Rattus norvegicus: one gene and its partners. The protein of the gene in region 1 interacts with the protein of each later gene in a pairwise test. Links are inferred from orthologs where the notes say so. Each region holds a gene or a part of one and is shown on either strand. Other genes may lie near its edges.

Evidence for each region.
Region 2: the proteins of Pnma1 (region 1) and Aptx interact in binary tests that used the Homo sapiens proteins (3 or more experiments, as listed by UniProt). The two-hybrid records come from large-scale screens. The link is inferred for Rattus norvegicus from reciprocal best matches to the Homo sapiens genes PNMA1 and APTX.
Region 3: the proteins of Pnma1 (region 1) and Rusc1 interact in binary tests that used the Homo sapiens proteins (3 or more experiments, as listed by UniProt). The two-hybrid records come from large-scale screens. The link is inferred for Rattus norvegicus from reciprocal best matches to the Homo sapiens genes PNMA1 and RUSC1.

Annotation. Positions count from the first base shown.
Region 1 is NC_086024.1:109,512,803-109,516,296, reverse strand, and holds Pnma1 (paraneoplastic antigen Ma1 homolog), read left to right. Parts: upstream 1-1,129; 5' UTR 1,130-1,623; coding exon 1,624-2,685; 3' UTR 2,686-2,915; downstream 2,916-3,494.
Region 2 is NC_086023.1:60,615,945-60,619,685, forward strand, and holds the start of Aptx (aprataxin), read right to left. Parts: upstream 2,847-3,741; 5' UTR 2,709-2,846; intron 1-2,708. UniProt on the Homo sapiens protein: DNA-binding protein involved in single-strand DNA break repair, double-strand DNA break repair and base excision repair.
Region 3 is NC_086020.1:176,792,604-176,796,351, forward strand, and holds the start of Rusc1 (RUN and SH3 domain containing 1), read right to left. Parts: upstream 2,379-3,748; 5' UTR 2,279-2,378; intron 1,576-2,278; 5' UTR 1,492-1,575; coding exon 150-1,491; intron 1-149. Other genes in the region: Fdps (farnesyl pyrophosphate synthase), read right to left, coding at 2,641-2,841, 3,216-3,350. UniProt on the Homo sapiens protein: Associates with the adapter-like complex 4 (AP-4) and may therefore play a role in vesicular trafficking of proteins at the trans-Golgi network. Signaling adapter which plays a role in neuronal differentiation.

The DNA of each region.
Region 1 (3,494 bases):
CCTTGTTGGAGAGGACAGCACAGAAACAGCCTTGACTGTAATTATTGTACAGATATTTTAATAGCATAAAGTAAGTATATTCCTTTTATTTTGAAACAAAATGGTCAGACACTGCCTTTCATGTGTTTGTTGCCTGTGGCACTCTTTTTAAAAAAGACTGTTACATATTAAATAGTGTACATATATATAAATATTACCTCTTTGTGTACAGTTGTGATAGACCAGACCGAAAATTTTATTTTTTGTGTGCTTTTTATAAAAAAAATTAATACACTAAAGAGAATCTTGCGGATGTGATTGTAATGTACCCATGTAACTTATTTACTTTTGAATGTTCTGTATCTTAAGACCTTTTATTAAATAAGGTTTTAAAAAAGTCATTGTTGAATGCCATGTTCTTATAGGGGTGTTTTTGCCAGCTGGGACTGACTGATAGGGAACTTCTCCCTTTCTGAGCCTTAAGCGGTCTGTTTTGCTATCCTGTATACTCAGTAAGGACAAGAAGTTTGCTTGGCTACAAAGAGAAGTAATCCGGTGGGGGGGAGGGTGTGCACACACACACAAACTTTAGGTTTTGACACACACACACACACACACACACACACACACACACACACACACAAATTTTGGACAAGAAAGCCAAGTCAGACACTCAAAGGAACCAGTAGGTGGAATCCTCTTTTCTAGTCTTATGGGGAGGAACGGAGAAGCTGCAGACTGTAATCTGGTGGTTCACGGAAGTCAGATTTAGTGTTTTCACAGCAGAGTGAATGCATAGAATGGATATGAGACAAGTCCGTCGTGGTAGATGCGTATCAATAAGGCCAACTTAAATCCACAGCAAAATTAAATAAAACAAAACATGCTTAGCAATATTGTTAAGGAGGAATCTGGGAAGTACGAGTATGGGGGAGGGGTAAAAAGAAATGCACCATCATAGAATAGACTACTCAAACCCCTTCTTGGCACCATAGCAACCGCCAGATCCTCTGGAGCCCGCGCATCTCGCGTCGTCATGGACACAGTTGTCACGGTGACACTGGGGGAGGCGAGCGGACCGGTTCCGCCCTCCAGTGCAGCTGCACGGAGGCCGTTGCTGGAGCGCGCGGCCATAAGCGCTGAGCAGAGCTGCCTCCAGCCCGGTTCCTCCCTCCTTCGCGCTTCCTGCCGCCTCAGTCCCCGGTGCTTCGAGTGCCGCCTCTCTCGGTGTAGCTGAGCCACGGCCTCGAGTAACCCTCGGCCGCCCGCGGGCCAGGGAGAGGTGGGAGGAGCTGCCACGCCCCGCGACCGCACCCAGTCATCTCCAGCCCGCAGCCAACCGCCTTGAGCCCACCTTCCTCCCCTTCTCAAAGCAGTGACGCAAGGCACAGCCGCAGCCAGTCCACTCCTGCCCGGACCAAAAGGGCGACATTCGAGTGATAGGCGGAGTGTCCCGTGGCACTGACTTGGGACCCGGAAGGGACCAGAAGGAACTCTGGTGTCTTTTGGTAATTGTGGTTGCTTGAAGCTTGTCGCCCCCTGGCCTACCGGGGGAGGAGAGCATGTTGTCCTAAGCCCAACAGCAGCACCGTGAGCCAGTCCAAGCACAGTCTGTAGAACTGGCACTCTTAATAGTTGGGCGAAATGGCTATGACACTATTGGAAGACTGGTGCAGGGGAATGGATGTGAACTCTCAGAGAGCTCTGTTGGTCTGGGGGATCCCTGTGAACTGTGATGAGACCGAAATCGAAGAGACCCTCCAAGCTGCGATGCCCCAGGTATCCTATCGAGTACTGGGGAGAATGTTCTGGAGGGAAGAAAATGCGAAAGCAGCCTTGTTAGAGCTCACTGGGACGGTGGATTACTCCCTGATCCCCAGGGAGATGCCAGGCAAAGGAGGGCTCTGGAAAGTAGTGTTTAAGCCCCCCACTTCCGACGCGGAGTTTTTGGAAAGGCTGCACCTCTTTCTAGCTAGGGAAGGGTGGACGGTGCAAGATGTTGCTCGTGTGCTTGGGTTTCAGAACCCTGCTCCAGCCCCAGGCCCGGAAATGCCAGCAGAGATGCTCAACTATATTTTGGATAATGTTATTCAACCTCTTGTTGAGTCCATATGGTATAAGAAGCTGACTTTGTTCTCCGGGAGGGACATTCCCGGGCCTGGCGAGGAGACCTTTGATTCCTGGCTGGAGCACTCGAATGAAGTCATAGAGGAATGGCAGGTGTCTGATATAGAAAAGAGACGGCGGTTGATGGAGAGTTTGCGAGGCCCGGCTGCCGATGTCATTCGCATCCTCAAGACCAACAACCCTGCTATAACCACGGCAGAATGCCTGAAGGCTCTTGAGCAGGTGTTTGGGAGCGTGGAGAGCTCTAGAGATGCACAGGTCAGATTTCTGAACACTTACCAAAACCCAGGAGAAAAGTTATCTTCTTACGTTATCCGTCTGGAGCCTCTGCTGCAAAAGGTAGTGGACAAGGGGGCCATTGATAAAGATAACGTGAACCAGGCTCGCCTGGAACAGGTCATCGCTGGGGCCAACCACAGCGGGGCCCTCCGAAGGCAGTTGTGGCTGACTGGGGCTACAGAAGGGCCTGCACCCAACCTCTTCCAGTTACTGGTGCAGATTCGAGAGGAGGAAGCCAAAGAGGAGGAGGAGGAGGCCGAGGCTGCCCTTTTGCAGCTAGGCCTAGAGGGGCACTTCTGAATCCCAGGACTGGCCAGGCTGCTTTTGATATTCCTGTGAAGTTTTAGTAAGCCTGTCCCTTAAAGTAAACAGCCAGCCTCCTCCTGCCTTTGTTTTGTTTTCTGAGGAATGGGATGAGAAAGTCAGGCCCGCATATTCCTGTAGCATTCACAGAATTGTGTAATTAGCAGGAGTAAAGGCGGTTCATAGTGCTACAGTGATGCCAGCCCTCCTGGTGACATCTCTGACAGCTGTGAGAAACATGAAGCTGCGATCCTTCCTGTCACGATGTTTGTGAAACTGCAAGTTCTGATGCTAAGTACATGCCCGGTTCACAGGCTGTACACTACAAACTCTTGTATTTATTTGTTACTAACACTGTGGACAGCTTTACTGTAAATTGTTGCTAATTTGTATCCATGGAAAGAATGCGACTTTTAGATATTACTCATCTTGAAAATGCAGATTTCTAATTCCTCGTGGCTCAACACTGGAATCAGTTTCCCTGAAAAGTATCCCCAGATTAGAAGTGGCGGGTTAGAAAGATGTGTTTTTATAGAGTGCACAATAAATCCTTCACAGTGGAAGATACAGATGTAAGTCATAGGGGGAATGGCCCTGGACAAGCTACACTTCCTCACTTCAAATATTTGTCATTATTGGTCATATTGATGCTAAGGGTTCTAAGTTTGAAGTTATTGAATAGATGGATACAAAAAAAATTTGAAAATTCTCTTTTTTCCTGACATGCATACAATTTTTCAGCATAATTTAGCTTCACATACTTTTTTCTCCTGACAAGGACTTTTGCTCATGTTTAAAAAAACAAA
Region 2 (3,741 bases), on another chromosome or scaffold:
ACTCAGAGATTCATCTGCCTCTGCCTCCTGCTGGGATTAAAGTCATGTACCACCACCACCGCCCTAGGAATCTTAGTTAGGGTTTCCATTGCTATGGAGACCCCATGACCAAACCAACTCTTATAAGGACAACATTTAATTAGGACTGGCTTACAGGTTCAGAGGTCAGCCCATTATTATCAAGATGGGAACACGGCAGCATCCAGGAAGACATAGAGCATTTCACCTCTTGTTCTGAAGGCAGCTAGGAGAAGACTGGCTTCCAGGCAGCTAGGACAAGGGTCTTAAAGCCCACCCCACAGTGACACACCTACTCCAACAAGGCCACACCTCCTACTAGTGCCACTCCCTGGGCCAAGCACAGACAAACCATCGCATTAGGGAACCCAAATGATCTTGGCAAGTGGCGTGCGGCCTGAAATCTATCTTGAAGCACTGTTAGCACTGAGCTTCTGAAGGGCCACTAGCACAAGTATGGAGCTGAATTTCCAATTAATTTAAGCACAAGTGACTGTGGAGACTTGAATTTAAGACTGTCAGCCTCTAATTCCTCAGAGGTTACTTATTTCACAGAACTGGCCCCAGTGGCCATCCTTCTCACTCTTCCCTCCCCAGACATACACGCGGGCACCTTTACACACACAGACATCATCATTCTAAGCATGGTATTCTGATGTTGACTTATCCTTCTCTCCTTCCTAGAGACCCAAATCTTAGATTTCAGGTCCCATCTCCTTGGAGGCCAATGGAGTTGTCATCTTCTCACAGCCTTAGGAACGAACTCCCCTCTGTATCCCCATTCGAGAAACATGGAAGAAAAGTCTTGGAAGACTGCTGCTGGCCTGCTCTTGTATCCCAGGATCCCAGGTGTTCAGCATAACCTATTAAGAACATACTACATGGGGGGCGAGAGGGGGGGAGGGCTGGGGAGATGGCTGAGTGGTTAAGAGCACTGACTGCCTTCCAGAGGAGCCAGGTTCAATTCCCAGCACCCACACGGCAGCTCACAACTGTCTATAGCTCCAGTTCCAAGAGGATCCAACACCCTCTTCTTGCCCCCCATGACCACTGCATGCACATGGTACATGCAGGCAGGCAAAACACTCATACACAAAATAAAAATGTAAAAAAAAAAAAATTAAGACATTCTACACAGTGGGTACTATGCTAAATGTCTCATTTACAAGGTCTCACCTTCACTATGGAAAATTAAGGCACAGACAAGTAAGTACCGTGTCAAGCAACCAAGACTCTGTGCCAGAGTTAGAATTTCAACTCTTTCCAAAGAATGGGTTCTTTTTTTTTTCTTTTTTTTTTCTTTTTTTTTTCTTTTCTTTTTTTTTTCCGGAGCTGGGGACCAAACCCAGGGCCTTGCGCTTGCTAGGCAAGCGCTCTACCACTGAGCTAAATCCCCAACCCCCAAAGAATGGGTTCTTAACTACTACACGATACTGTTTGGGGGCTCACTCACTCAATCTCAATCAAGATTTTTTCATGCCTACTATGTGCTTCATGCTATTCTAGCACTGGGAGTCAAGAGCTAATGCATATGTCCTCCTTTCAAAAGCCTCCAATCTCACAGAAGACCCAGAAATAATTATAATCAGTGGGGTATGATTTGCCTGTAGAAAGAGTATTATAGAAATACAAACCCTTAGTACCCTGTGAAGGAAAGTTTTCTGGAGATGGGATGGGCTTATAAACTTGATTAATTTGGTAGGAGTAGGCAGCCTATCTGAGCAACAAGAACCAGAAACTGGGATTAGGAAGACAATTTCTAGGCAAAGAGAACAACAAAGGCAAACACAGGAAGACATGGCACAGTGCATGGAGAAGCATTAAGTGATAGTGGAACCTAAAACTGAAGGCAGAAGGGACCAGAGACCCCAACAAGCTCCAGATAAAGCCCCATGTGACTGGCTGACAGCTGAAAAATTGTACGTTTCAATAGATTTTGAAATTCAGCAGTCAGTGAATGCTTGCTTAAAGAATAGGAGGTGTGGGGACGACATATCAGCAAACAAGTCACTAACAACCAAGCAGGAATTGGACAAAGATTTCCTTACAAAGATCATCTTGGAAAAAAAAAGTATAAAAACCAAATATGCATTTCTTTCCCACATAAACAATTCTGTAAAAAGATTTCTATGACAGAGGTCTGCAGTCTCAGTATTAAGGAGGCACAGGCAGGATATCCAGAAGTTTGAGGTCATACTACTCTACATACTGTAAACCATCTTGAAAAAAAAAAAAATGTACAAGGCCTGTATCCCATCACTGGGAGGTAGGGACAAGGGGATCAGGAATTTGAGGCCAGCTGGGCTAGTGGGGATGCTGGGACTCTTACGAAATCCCCAATACATATCGACTCCTCCAAAGTATTCTCCATCAATTCCAAATAGATGTAATTTCAAAAGCCCCAGCTTTGTTGAATCAGTCTCTGCACTATATGAAAAAGGCCTTACTGCTTCCGGCATTATTAAGGCCCGCTGAGGACACTGCTAGGGCGCCTCAAGTTACTCTTGGAAGGCGTTTCTGGCAGAAACAGAACAGCCCCGTTGGCACGGACAGTGTCCACTGTTTATCTATAAATCTTTTCAAGCAGATCTTGCAGCCAACTAGGTACAAGAGTCGGATGGGGATGGGGGGCGGGGAGTCAGAGAGGTCGGAACAATGAGGCGGAAACCAAAACTCTGAAACACGCCCACCTGAACAGGACGAAAGGGTGGGGCTTGGTCCACCCAGAAGGAAACCTCGAACTCCACCTTCAAGGTATCCGCTCCGGGTTAGCAGCCCCGGCCAAACGCCCCTGCTGGCTTCTAACCCAACCAGCTACGAAAGCAGGCCGACCACTAGCTTACCTCGACTGCACACTTACAAACCTCCACGCTACTCCGCTGCGCCTCGCCGCTTCCGGTGCTGAAAGATGATGTCACAAACTGCTGCCTAGCAACTGGTGATGATTTCAGAGTTTTTTCCAGAATTGGCCGAAACGTTCTCTTGCCGGATACCCTGGTCGAAAAGTGGTCGTAGCAGCTAGTTGTTTCCCGTGAAGATAACTCCTTTGCCTTCTCTGAGGCATCTAGCTGTCATAGCCTCCCAGGGTCTGAATCCGGAGAGATTTCAGACAGCAATCTCCTGTGGCTTTTCTATGCAGCCAAGTCGTCTCTTAGCACTTCCTCCTCAGGAAGCTTGCTATATGTTAAAGCCATCTTTGAAAGGGAAGGAACGAGGTTGGAGGTAGTGAGACAAATTCATTCTGTAGCCCAAATTGGCCTTGAACTCGCCAGAATCTCCTCTTGCCTTAGATTCCCCAGTGCTAGGATTGCAGGTGCGAGCTACCAAACACAGCTTTGAAGCCATCGGTTAAGCTACAAGCTGGAGTGCTTTACCAACCACTCACGTTCAAATTACACTTTCCTTCTCTAAGGAGAAAAAGACTAAAGAGAGAGACAGAGGAACCCTGCTAAGATTTTTTTTTATGATGTCTTCACTAAATTAACTGAGGGCAATCAGCAAGGCAGGAGGTTGGGATGACATATTTGTACTGATTTTTATTGCAATTCCAGGACGTTCCCTAAAAGTCTTGTATTGTAAATCACCAAAGACTTCTTGGCAGATGAAAGAATTCCTATCTCGTGAGTACATCAGAGTGTAGAATCTGAAACGCAGTAGAAACTGAACCTTTCAGAGTCTTTTTTTTTTGGGGGGGGGGTTGTTTAGAAAACAAGGTTTCACTGT
Region 3 (3,748 bases), on another chromosome or scaffold:
GGAGCAAAGAGTTAGTCCCTTCACTCCAAGATCCACCCAGTTTCCCTCTCCCAGAGCGTGCCCTGGAGATGGGGCGGGGAGGACACTGCAGAAGGAGGGGACCAGGGGCGGACTCAGGACCGGCCCTCCTGCGGGTCCACGCTTCTTACCCACGGCGTGCGCGCGCGGTTCCTCGGGCTCCTGCACGGCGGGTGCCTCCTCACCAGCCGGGGGGCTGGCCGCCCTGCCCTCCTCCGACAGCCCCTCTGCAATAGGCTGCAGCCCAAGTCGATTCTTCTTCCTCCGCGGAGGGACGGGAGGGGGAGGCGGTCGAGGCGGGACCAAAGCCCACCCAGCCGGAGGGTCCCGGGGCGGGACTGGCGGCGGCTGGGCTCGGCTTCGCGACCGGAGTTCCTTGAAGGTGGTGACTTCTCGGGGAGGTGCCAAAGAACCTCCCAGGGACCCAGTCGGCGGGAGCTCAGTGTCGGGCGAGAAGACTATGAGCCAGTCGCTGCGATCTTTCTTGGCCTGCGGCACAAGGGGCAGCCCCGGACCCCGCTTGCGCTTCTGGGCCAGCTCATGGAAGGACGTGATTGTCCGATGGGGCACCGGCTCCTGGCTGACGTCACCTCTCCATCCCCCATCAGTTTTCCCTGCATCTATTTTCGAACCAGAATTGGTGTTCAAACAAGAATCCAATTTCCCAGATTCCGTTTTCAAGCTCGAGTCTGTATTTTCGTCTGTTTTCCAACCAGAGTCACTGTCCTCGATGGTTTTCCACTCAGTTTCAGTTTTCTCTGTGTCGATTTTCCAAATGGGGTTGATTTTCCAACTGGGCTCTGCTTTCCCTGCGTCAATTCTCCCATCTTCGGTCTCTGAGAGCTCAGAGGTAGCAAGATCCTGTTCCCCACTGTCTTCCTCCTCCTCCAAGCCTGGGGAAGGTAGGTCCTGGCAGGTGGTCAGGGCGTTGCAGTTCGAGTCCAGGTCAGGTCCAGGTGGAGAAGATATTCCGGAGCAAGAATCAGGAGAGCAGCAGACGCTGTCTGGAGAGCAGGTGCTAGGACCCGCGGGAGCCAGAGGAGAGCCCAGCTCCAAGGGGAAGATGCTGGCCTGAGGGTTGGCATCCTCATTACCCGGCAGGTCTCGAGAGTAGACTGACACTGGAGACTCATCAGGGCTAAGATCTGAGCAGGAGCTGAGAGAGGAAGAGCATCCCGGATCTGAAGGCGAGGCAGCCTCTTCCTCCTGGGAGGGGTCCTGCTGGTTTTCTATGCTGGGCCCATGCTCCTGGCAGCATCTGCAGGGCACAGCTGGACTGTTGGAGTTGGCGTCCACAAGGGTCCCGCTGCAAGGCCCCCTGCTTTCCTTGCCCCCTGTGTCCCCTGGGGGCGGGGGTGTGCTCAGAGGCCCCTCTCGTAGTTCAGGACGGCGGGACAAGTGCAGGCCTAGGGAGACGTGCTGGAGATGGATGTGATTGAGGTTGCAGAGTAAAGCCCGCTGAGGGGACAGCATGGTGCCGAGGACGACGTATGGCTTTCAGAGAACCGACAGGATCCAGCGTCTCACATCCACCTACCTGACAGTACAGATGCAGACCTAGAAAACAGGGGCGGTTGAAACCTAGCTACTGAGATCGCCGGTAAGGGCACGGGAGGTGACTGAGGACTAGAACAGGCCTGGGAAAGACCTGGCTGCTTTGGGAAATATTTAAATGAGATTCAAATCACCATGAACAGGCCATTAGTTTGCACTGCAGCATTTGCAGGTGGAGTCGAACATAACCTCCAGGGAACGAAGAAAGGAGGGTCATGAGAAAATGCGGTTGTACTGATCTCCGCGGGGGTGCGAAGCTTGAAAAAAGTGGGGCCCAGAATATGGGGGTGCGATGCTTGAAAATCGGGTCCAGAAAACACCCTGATTCTTCCTAATCAAGTTCTGTCCTCCAGCTTACCTCTGGGAGGAAGGAGACCCCGCCCAGATGCTCTAGTGAGGTGGATGGTCGGGAATGAGAAGAAGGGTTTGGTTATTAACGCAGGAGAGGGGTCTGGGCTGGAGGAAGAGGAAGCATTCTGCTTGTCAGCGCTGCATCTGCCCCAGTCCCCATTCAGTTCTAGCCTTCAGCCTGTGTCCTCACCCACCCGCAACGGCAAGGTTTATCCATTCACTCTGAGCTCGTCTCCATCTTCCACCCATCACCCGCTTCTTTATTCTTTTTTTCACTGCTCCTCTCCCGTGCCATCCACCCATCTATCCATCCATCCATCCATCCATCCGCACCCTCAGACCGAGCCCTCCTCACCGCAGTCCTCCTGGAATCGCTCCGGCCGGCCTTGGCTCGTCTGCGTCCCCGCCCAGCGGGGAACAGAGCGGAGGGGAGGGGCACCAGCAAAACCCAGTGGCTGCGCAGCCGCACCCCTTCACGCATGGGCGTGGCATAGCTCAGGACCGCCTCCCAACCTCCACGCAACACTTGACGCTGTGCCTATGTCACCCATCTAACAACGCAGCAGCTTTGGGTCTCAAGGAATTCTTTTGCCAACCTGGATTCCAAGTTGCCCTCTCCCACCCCTCCATTTTGAACTCCTGACACAAGCATAAAACCACAGGATGTTGAACAATAATTTATTGAGACCCCTCCCTCGCAGCCTCTACAATTCGAGGTTACTTTCTCCGCTTGTAGATCTTGTTTGCTAGTTCCAGGAAGATGGATGGGGGCAGGGGCGCGGAGCACTGCTCTATGAGACTCTTGAGGCGGTTGTAACTGTCTTCCTCGTACTTGAAGAACACACTCCGCAGATCCAGCTCCTCGTACAGTGCTTTCACCCGCGCCACTTTTTCTGGGTCCTTCTGCCCATAATTCTCCTGGAAGCAGAGAAACAGCTTTTTTTGGCTGGATTCAAAGGCCCTCACAACTCCTACATTCCAGAACACTGGCAAAGCTCTCTCTCTGGGAATCCAATCTCAAGCATTGCCTCCCCAACCCCAAAGTTCAGGCATTGGCTCAGGATTCTACTTCCTCTATGGATTCTCAGCCTCGACACCACTGACAGTTACTGGGCATGTGTTGTCTGGCACTGTACAAAATCTTCCTGGTCCTGCCTGCTACCTTCAGCACATACACCAAATTGCACTGAGCTCCCAAATGTCTCCTGGACAGCAAAATCACTGTTCTAACCACTCCTCCCCCATCCCCTCTTAGCAAAGGGACATGCCACCCCCAAGCCCCACTTGGGCACCTCTAAGATCTGGCGCTGCTGAGGAGTGGCTCGTAGCAGACACTGAACCACCAGCCAGCTGCATTTGTTGTCCTGGATGTCAGTGCCGACCTTTCCGGTCACACTGGGGTCTCCAAAGAGATCAAGGTAGTCGTCCTAGGGAGCAGGCAGAAAGGAGAGATGAGAAGCTCCATGCAGTGTGGCTGGAGGACCTGTGTACACTGCTGTCTGTAAGCAGGGAAGGGCAGGTAGAAGACAAGGCAAGAGCCTGTGATTGGACAGTGAAAAAGAAAAGTGGGCCGAGAATTCTAGAGACAAAGAGCACAGGAAGGGGAGAAGGAAGACGGAGGAAGAGGACCACCCGGATCCGTGTAGCTTTAAACAGCCACGGGTAACTATGAGTATTATATAAGGGATAGATGACTACAGGACATCTTATCTAGGTGGGCCCTTTATATCAGTATCAATTGGCTCTGAGTTTATTATGTGGGCGTTTTGTGGGGTGAGAATTTACTGATATAAATCTGATTAATAAATTACAAGCCTCTAGAGTT